Callithrix jacchus: one gene and its partner. The protein of the gene in region 2 interacts with the protein of the main gene of each other region in a pairwise test. Links are inferred from orthologs where the notes say so. Each region holds a gene or a part of one and is shown on either strand. Other genes may lie near its edges.

Region 1 (4,755 bases), on a different chromosome or scaffold from region 2:
GAAAAATGAACAGAAAAAAGAAAATTTATGCAATTGAAGAGAATTAAAGTAGTCAAATGACTGTACTAAAAGTTAGACAGGGTAGTCAGGGAAGACCTGCTTCTTTTTATTTATTTTTTTAGGTGGAGTCTTGCTCTTATTGCCCAGGATGGAGTGCAATGGCAGGATCTCGGCTCACTGCAACCTCTGCCTCCCGACTTCAAGCAATTCTCCTGCCTCACCCTCCCTAGTAGTTGGGATTACAGTCGCCTGCCACCACACTCGGCTGTTTTTTTTTTTTTTTTAATTTTTTGTATTTTTAGTAAAGCGGGGTTTCGCCATGTTGGTCAGGCTGGTCTCCTGACCTCGTGATTTACCGCCTTGGCCTCCCAAAGTGCTGGAATTAACAGGCGTAAGCCACTGCGCCAGGCCATTTTTAAAAAAATTTATTTTTATTATTTTTAAATTTAGAGACTGACTTTCACGTTGTTGTCCAGGCTGGTCTTGAACTCCTGGGCTCAAAAATCCTCCGCCCTCGGCCCCCCAGTGCTGGGATTGCAGCCATGAACCACCACATCTGGCCAAGACCTGCTTCTTGGAGGTGACAATAGGCTAAGCTCTAAATGGAAAGAAATTTCTACTCATGGGAATGAATCCCACCCAGGTTTTCCCGGCCCAGGGCTGACAAAACCAATTCACTAAGTGCTTAGTGCTTAGCACTATACTAAATGCTACTGCAGTAGAGTTGTATTAACGTGAGGCTGGCCTCAGGGAGGAAGTTACCACTCAAGTGTTTTCCGGAAGGCTCAGCTCAGAGGTTAGGGTTTTCAGAGTTTGCTGTGAGCAGGACACTAGGGAATGGGTGCGGCTGACTGGTTGGAGATGCCACCCATTCAGCAGCACCGTGAGTCCGCCTCTGGGTGGAGGAGTGGGGCAGATGAACCGATTGGGTTATGAGACACGAGTCTGGGTGGGGTCAGTTAGTTGACAGAATGAGAAAGTCTGAAGAATGCCTCAAAAGACCAATCTTGGCCGGGCGTGGTGGCTCACGTCTGTAATTCAAGCACTTTGGAGGCCAGGGCGGGCGGATCACCTGAGGTCGGGAGTTCAAGACCTGCCTAACCAACATGGTGAAACCCCGTCTTAAAAAACAACAACAAAAACAAAAAACCAGTCTTAAGTTCTACAATAAGGACGTTAACTACAGGAGTAATTGGATAAGTTACACATCCGATGTCCTCCGAAACAATAGCTGGTTATCATTCAACTACATTTTAGCAGAATTCAGGGCCCTCTCGGATTCCTAGCCTCCTCTTTCATTAGTTATACACAGGCAGTTTCAGCCCCTGAATAGGGAGGGGGCCCGTTTAAGGGAGGGACTATGATCATCCTTGCTTAAAAGTTAAACTATAAATTCTCCCATATTTAGCTTGGCTTATGCCCAGGAATGAGCGAAGACAGCCAGCCTGCGAGGCTAGAAGCAAGATGGAGTTAGCCACGTTAGATTTCTCTCACTGTCTTTGCAAAGGCGGTTTCCAGGAACAGCGTGCAGAGTAGATGATTTTCTACCAGGGTCCTTTTGGTCATTTCTTCCTAGCTGTCCGATTCTGAGCTGTTCCCAACACTTTTCTTGACGACTCATCTCCCCGTCCTTGCCCCAGTTGCTTTCCGCAGCGGCGCAAGACCCTGCACAATCGAAAACATTCCACAGCGAAAACGGTTCCAACTTCCGGAGGCCGCCCGGAAGGGGCGGGGCTTATGGTAGTCTTCATTACGTATCGGCCTGGTTGCCTGAAGGTTGACGGAAGTGCTCTGTATTGTTGCCGGAAGTGGGAAGAGAGGTTGCGATGGCGGCTGTTGCTGCATCCGAGGTGAGTTAGACGACCCCACACCGGGGGTTTTGTTGGTGAGGGTTGCGGGGAGCGGCCTGGGAGAGAGGTGGAGGCGAAGTCTAGTTTTGCTTCAGGTCGGCGCAGACACTGTGGGGTCGAGTCGGCGGTCTAGGCCCTAGGCCCAGCCTGTCGGGGCCGGCGGGGACTCGGCCTGGGCCGTCCGGGGAGAAGCCGAGCCGGCTCTGCCTGAAGCCAATTCTCCTCGCCGCAGGTGCTGGTGGACAGCGTGGAGGAGGGGTCCTTTGCTGCGGCGGCGGAGTTGGCCGCTCAGAAGCGCGAACAGAGACTGCGCAAATTCCGGGAGCTGCACCTGAAGCGGGTGAGTAGTCTTGGAGGCCGGCTCAGATCGGTCACTTGGCCAGGGCCAGGCGCTTTTGTAGAGGGGGCGAGGAAGCCACACCACTGCATCTGACAGACCCACAGAACGGGATCATCTGAGATGAAAGCTGTATCCGGTGGCAGCACATTGGGATCATATAAAAAATAAGCCAGGCATTGTGGCACATGCTTGTAATCCCAGCTACTTGGGAGGCTGAGGCATGAGACTTGTCTGAACCCCAGAGGCAAAAGTTGAAATGAGTTGAGATGGTGCCACTCACTACACTCCGGCTTTGGTGACAGAGTGAGACTCTGTCTCCAAAAAAAGAATTGAAATTAGAGTGTCTTTCACAGCATGTGCTGTAATTCTTTTCTTTTTTTTTTTTTTGAGATGGAGTTTTGCTCTGTCACTCAGGCTAGAGTGCAGTGGTGTGATCTTGGCTCACCTTAAGCTCTGCCTCCTGGGTTCAAGTGATTCTCCTGCTTTAGCCTCCTGAGTAGCTGGGATTACAGGCATGTGCCACCATGCCCAGCTAATTATGTATTTTTAGTAGAGATGATATTTTGCCATGTTGGCCAGGCTGGTCTTGAACTCTTGACCTCAAGCAGTCCGCCTGCCTCAGCCTCCCAAAGTACTAGGATTAGAGGCGTGAGCCACCTCACCCTGCCAATTTAATATTATTAAATGCCCAATAAAGTCTACTTAAGTGCCACTATAGTATGGTTCTCCCATATTTCGAAACCTTGTTCTGATGCAAAAAAAAGAGATCACACAACTCATAGAGGCAAAGCTGATTTTAGCCTCTAGTGCTCTGGAACAGCAAACCAGTGCAACTCAACACATTTTTCTTGACTGCATAAAAATGTAGACCCTATTAGCCTATTCCCTAGCTTAAGATCCCATGATTGCTCTCTATTGCTTTTAGGATAAATAGGGTCACCTTATGATATGTCTTGCTTGATCCTCTTCAAAGCAGGTAAGATGTATCTGGATTTATTTTCATGTTTTAGCTGACACACTTCTTACGTTACAATTTTAGAATGAAGCTCGTAAATTAAATCACCAAGAAGTTGTGGAAGAAGATAAAAGACTAAAATTACCTGCAAATTGGGAAGCCAAAAAAGCTCGTTTGGAGTGGGAACTGCAAGAAGAAGAAAAGAAAAAGGTTAGGAACTATTCTATATTCATAAGTGATTTATTTAGTCATTCTGTTATATCAAGACACTACAACATAGTGGTTGAATACACTTGCTCTTAGGCCAAGCTGCCAGAATGAAATTCTGGCTCTGCTTGTTACCAACTGCAACATCTTAGGTGAGTTTATTTGACATCTCTGTACTTCTGTTTTCTCATCAATAAAACGGGGACTATAGCAATAATTATTTGAGTTAATTATGAATTAAGTGAATTAATGCATGTAAAACATTTAAAACAAGGTCTGATACCTGATAAATACTCAGTAAGTATCATGTGCTCACTTATATACCATAGTATATTCCCAAATTTCCTTTAAATATTATTATTTTTTAAATTATTTATTTATTCTTTTTTTGAGACGGAGTTTCGCTCTTGTTACCCAGGCTGGAGTGCAATGGCGCGATCTCGGCTCACCGCAACCTCCGCCTTCTGGGTTCAGGCAATTCTCCTGCCTCAGCCTCCTGAGTAGCTGGGATTACAGGCACATGCCACCATGCTCAGCTAATTTTTTGTATTTTTAGTAGAGATGGGGTTTCACCATGTTGACCATGATGGTCTCGATCTCTTGACTTTGTGATCCACTCGCCTCGGCCTCCCAAAGTGCTGGGATTACAGGCGTGAGCCACCGTACCCGGCCCCTTTAATAATATTTAGTAATACTTAAAGGAAGGGCCGGGCACGGTGGCTCACGCCTGTAATCCTAGCACTTTGGGAGGCCAAGGCAGTTGGATCACATGAGGTCAGGAATTTGAGACCAGCCTGGCCAACATGGCAAAACCCCGTCTTTACTAAAAATGCAAAAATTAGCCAGGCATGGCAGCATGTTCCTGTAGTCCCAGCTACTTGGGAGGCTGAGGGATGAGAATTCCTTGAACCTGGGAGGTGGAGGTTGCTGTGAGCTAAGAGTGCACCACTGCAATTCAGCCTAGGAGACAGCGAGTGAAACTCCGTCTCAAAATAAAAAAACACTGTTAAAGTGTTGCTTGATATTTATTGGATCTTTCTTGATTTAAAGTAAGTGAAATTACTGCTTGTATCATAATTGGAGGTATTAGCTTTTTTCTTCTATTTAGGAATGTGCAGCAAGAGGAGAAGATTATGAGAAAGTGAAGTTGCTGGAGATCAGTGCAGAAGATGCGGAAAGATGGGAGAGGAAAAAGAAGAGGAAAAACCCTGATCTGGGATTTTCAGGTCAGATTGACCTTTATTGAACTGTACTTTATTGGCTGGGCTGTTAGAGAATCATTTCCTTTATTGTCTCTGGTTTCAAGAAAGGATGTGCCTCTTGGCTTCCTTCATGGGATATTCTTTTCGAGGCCCAAGACCAAAAAAAGTACAAATATGTCTCTTAGGACAGAAATGAAAAAA
Region 2 (4,964 bases):
CCTGGGTCTTCTCACTGATACTCTTGCCTCCTTATTCTCAGTTTAATACAGAGTATCCAGTGTGGTCTTTTAAAAACTTTTTAATCAGCTCACTCACTTTTCAGTTTGAAATGCTTTAAAGCAGAGCAGTGATCTGGGTCCTGCTGACTGCCCCAGTTTCCACCTGGCTCATACTCTGCAAGAGGTCTTGCCAAGACCTCTCCCACCTCTGGGCTTTTCATTCGTTCCTTCTGCCTGGAATGTACTTCCATCCTCTTGATTCATTCCTGTCCTTCTGGCCTCTGAGAGCCTTTCTCCCAGTTACCTTCTCATGACCCAGTTATTTCCTTCACTGAACTAATCACCATCTGTAATTATCTGTTTTGTTTATTTTTTTGGTCTTTCTTCTCACTGTTAGAATGCATAAGCTCTATAATGGACCTTTTGTTGTATGTATATGTGTTGTATGTATAATGTGTGTGTATACATTTAGTTCAATTCCAGCTTAACACCACTGGGACCTCAACATAAATTAAATGATACCTGCTTTCAAAGTGAATAAAAGGACATGGGCAAATACACAACTAGGCGCAGGTTAGCTGTTGTGTTATAAGCAACTGTGCTTGAAGCATAATTAGCTAACCCCAAGACAGAAAGCAGCATATTCTTAGAATCCATCAGTAACGCATTATTAAGACCAAACTCTTCCAAAGACTTGGGAGTAAGCTATGTTTCTGTTCTTTTCCAGTTGGCGTTTTTTAACATCCCCTTGATGGCTTACATATGTTGGAGCTTGCTGCAGCGGTGCTTTGGTCACAACTTCAGGTCTCATCTCCATCAAAGAAAATACTTAAAAATTATGCCAGTTCACCTACTTATGCTGCTGCTGTACATCTGGCAGGTTTATTCCTGCTACTTTCTTTATGCAACATACGGCACCCTAGCTTTTTTATTCTCCCCTTTGCGGACTTGGTTGACATTGTCGACACCTGTTCTCATTCGTTGTGTGTGGACACTGAACCCCACCAAGCTTGGAATCTTCATGGTGCAGTTAAAAAGCCACCTGAACTCCTGAAGGCCATGTCTCACCACTGGCAGCTGGGCAGAAGCCCAGCCTTTGTGTATGTAGCCCAGGCTTCCACCCCGGTAGTAGGTGGAAGGCCAGTATTAGTGGGTGAGTTTAGGGAGCTGCTGCTCCTTGGACTCCTGGATGTTGGAGGGATTACCCACTACTGATAACCTGCAGAGTGGACTGCAGAAAAGTCTCAAAAATGATGCTTTTATTCCTTCCCTCCCCAAGGAGGTAAAGGGTTGATTTACTATGGTGAAGAGAAAACCCTCATCTAGGACACCCACAGGGTAGGGGTTGGGTGTGTGTGTATGGGAGTATCTGAGACCCAGTGTGTTTTTTATGGCTACCCCATATAAAGCATCTACCGCTGTGCTTAGAATTCAGCAGCTGTCAAAGGCGCAGTTTCAGGGACAGGGAACCTGTGAGGATCTGGATCCGACCCCGACTACCTCTGAGATACGAGTTCCCTGGTCTATTTTCCCACAGGATTGCGGGCTCTCTGGTTCCTTAGTCGGAAGTGTTTTCAACTAATTATATAAATGAATGAATGATGAATAATAAATACCTTGGGCCGGAGCCTTCTTGTGTGGCGGGGCCTCTGGGGCGAGAGAAGGCGTGGCCTAGCCTGGCGTCTGAGAATGGAATGGGTGGTACACGACCTCTGGGAGCCGGGCGGGGTGGGGCGGGAGGAGGAGGCGGGGCCTGGCCTGGTGTCTGAGAATGGAATGGAAGGTACGGGACCTCTGGGATCCGGGTCGGGTGGGGCAAGAGGAGGCGGGGCCGGGTCTCTGGGGCGGGGCGGGGCGGCTTGTTGCCGGAAAGGAGTCCCAGACGCAGCGACCCGGAAGTAGAGCGGCTGTCACAGTGCGACTCCCGCTGCGGCGGCAGAGGCCTGTGTTTGCGGCCTTCTGCGAGCGACGAGGATGGCGAGCGCAGGGGCACCTGCAACCGCAGTCCCCACCTTGGCTCCGCCTTTGGAGCAGCTCCGGCACTTGGCAGTGGAGCTGCGGTTGCTCCTGCCTCGAGTGCGGGGTGAGCTTACGGAGTGGGAACGGGCGACGGCAGGGGCGGGCTCGGGGTCTGGGAGAGGCCGGGCTCCGGGTCGGGTAGAGGCCGGGCTCGGGCGAGGGAGGTGGCTCCGCTTACCTCAGCTTTTCTATTTGCCACCGTTCGGCCCCCCAACGCCACACCCACCAGTCGGCGAAGCCCAGGAGACTACTGAGGAGTTTAATCGAGAGATGTTTTGGAGAAGACTCAGTGAGTGCGCCTTCTGTCCGGGCTCCCCTGCCTCAGCTTCTCTAGCGTTCCAACCCCTTTCCCTCCTACTCCCCACCGCGGGAGGTGACTGCCCTCCCCCGCTGCATCCTTTCTGTGGGATGCCTTATCCACCTCGGCACCTGAGGGAGTGAAATAGAATTCTAACATCGACATTGGGAGATGTTTTTGAGAAGTCTCGGTCGGTAAGGGAACGCGCTTCTTCCAAGTCCGTGCAGCACTAACATATTGGCACCTGCCTCTCCCTCTGCCACCCCCCAGATGAGACAGCTGTGATGGTGTCAAGGGAAGCCACGACTCTGACCACAGTCTTCTCTCAGTTTCCACTGCCATCTCCACAGGTGGGCTTCACTTTCCTGGAGTCCTTGTGCTGCTGAGTTACACATTTAGGAATCCTCTCATTTTCTTTCCACCTTTTACATGCATGCCAGATTTATCTTCATCTGTCCAATGAGGTTACAGTTTTTCCTTCACCCGATTATGTGAAGACCAAATTGCAAAGTGCAGTTCCTGACGCGGAGTAGGCAGGTCTTCTAAATATTGATTCAATCAGAAGTTCACCCTGGTTGTTTTCCTTTCCGATAATTTTTTAAGCACTTTTTATTTGCTGGGTGTTTTCACATACTTGATGGCCATCAGACAGATGAGCAAGCAGGCTCAGATGCACAGGTTAAGATTTTTTTAAAAACCAAGGGAGGTAGGATTTATATCAAGATCTACCTGATGTCTAAGCTATACTTATTCTGTTATACTACATAATAACCTTTTTATATTGAATTTTTTTATATTTAAGCAGTAACATGTAGACAGTATAAAATTCAAAAGAGATCAAAGTAAAGTATACTAAAAGTTTATCTTCCCACCCACTTTCTCATTTTTGTCTCCCCCAGTTCCTTTTGCATTATTCCACATATATTCTGTGCATATATACATTCATGTACATTTATCTGTATATGTCAGCTTCTTTTTACACAAATGATAAGATACCATAAACACTGTTTGGGACCTTTCTTTATAGAAATTGACAATATGTCTTGGAAATCAACTCTTAGCAGTACCTATAAAGTTGCTCAGTTCTTTGTCATGACTGCATGGTATTCAATAGAGTAGATATAAACATAATTTAAGCAGTACTATATGTGGACATTTAAGCTGTTTCCAAATTACAATTACTGCAAACAGTTCTGTGATGAATTACCTAATTCTGTTTATGTGTGTATATAAGGAGAAAAAAAATCCCAGAAGTGGAATTGCTAGAACAAAGAATTTATGCATTTTAAGTATTCCTTTGTGATAAAACTAATGAAAGTAAACATGTTGGCTATGACCAGCTATGCTCTATGCTCAGTTTTTCTAGAGCTGTGTATCCTTAATATGGGAGTAAGATTCTTGTAAAATGGCATATTCATTGCTTTATTTGATTTTCAGTCAATAGTTTCAATTTTATCAGTCTATATATACAGGTGTTTGGAAAGAATATAAATATCTTCTGCTATGTGTACCTACAATGATAAACTCTCTCCCCCTATATACCTTTGAGTTTTGTTTGTTTGTTTGTTTGAGACAGTCTCACTCTGTCTCTGAGTCTGGAGTGCAGTGGCAAGATCTTGGCTCACTGCAACCTCCACCTCCCGAGTTCAAGCAATTCTCCTGCCTCAGCCTCTTAAGTAGCTGGGATTACAGGTGCCCACCGCCATGCCCGGCTAATTTTTGTATTTTTAGTAGAGACAGGGTTTCATTATGTTGGCCAAGCTGTTCTCATACTCCTGACCTCAGGTGATTCACATGCCTCAGCCTCCCAAAGTGCTGGGATTACAGGTGTGAGCCACTGTGCCTGGCTTACCTTTGAGATCTGCAACAAGGAAACGAGATGATTTGTATGAGAGCACTTTAAAAGATCATGGAAATAGACTACTTATTTCAAAAAGAGTAGTTAATATTATTTTTCTTATCTGCTAACCTGTTTCTTTCAAATACACTTGGGATTTGTTGCTAAAACTCACTGCAAGTAAGATACCATGAGGAGGCAGCATAGAACTGATTTTCTATACATGCTCAGGATAGTAGTTATACTCATAGATGAAAAATTAGAATATGGATTTATTTGAAATATGTACAAATATTCATGTATATAAATATATTCAAATTGTATATACATGTATGTATACACACACACACATATATATACACATGAATCATCATTGTCTTCTTGGGATCTCACCACTTTAGTCCTACTAAAAGATGAGTTTTTTTAAAATTTCAATCTGTATGGATTGATACTTTAATAAAATTATGTGCTTGGATGTTGAAGAAATGTCAAATTGCCATAAAAGTTTCTAAACACTCTCAGTCACTGTCCTTATCTCATCCCTGACTGGTCACAAACAGTTTGTAGACTGGCACCAATCTGGACCACATTTGCATAGTATTGACTTGGAATTTAACAGAAAATTGAGGACAAGGAAGATGAGAAAGCCAGTGACCACTTAGAAGGAAAATAGTCAACATGGAGCATTGTTGAGTACATGCTAGTACCTTTGGTTACATATTGTGATTCTGTTGAGAGAGAGAGATTAATGGACTAATATAGAGGCTGGTCCATCAGTTGTTCTGTCTCTCTCTCTCTCTTTTCTGTAAA

Evidence for each region. The genes of interacting proteins can lie anywhere in the genome.
Region 1: the proteins of CCNDBP1 (region 2) and SYF2 interact in binary tests that used the Homo sapiens proteins (3 or more experiments, as listed by UniProt). The link is inferred for Callithrix jacchus from reciprocal best matches to the Homo sapiens genes CCNDBP1 and SYF2.

Annotation. Positions count from the first base shown.
Region 1 is NC_133508.1:61,950,510-61,955,264, reverse strand, and holds the start of SYF2 (pre-mRNA-splicing factor SYF2), read left to right. Parts: upstream 1-1,793; 5' UTR 1,794-1,826; coding exon 1,827-1,850; intron 1,851-2,082; coding exon 2,083-2,190; intron 2,191-3,229; coding exon 3,230-3,355; intron 3,356-4,460; coding exon 4,461-4,578; intron 4,579-4,755. UniProt on the Homo sapiens protein: Involved in pre-mRNA splicing as component of the spliceosome.
Region 2 is NC_133509.1:30,923,684-30,928,647, forward strand, and holds the start of CCNDBP1 (cyclin-D1-binding protein 1), read left to right. Parts: upstream 1-1,909; 5' UTR 1,910-1,974; coding exon 1,975-2,083; intron 2,084-2,248; coding exon 2,249-2,308; intron 2,309-2,587; coding exon 2,588-2,667; intron 2,668-4,964. Other genes in the region: TMEM62 (transmembrane protein 62), read left to right, coding at 728-1,054. UniProt on the Homo sapiens protein: May negatively regulate cell cycle progression. May act at least in part via inhibition of the cyclin-D1/CDK4 complex, thereby preventing phosphorylation of RB1 and blocking E2F-dependent transcription.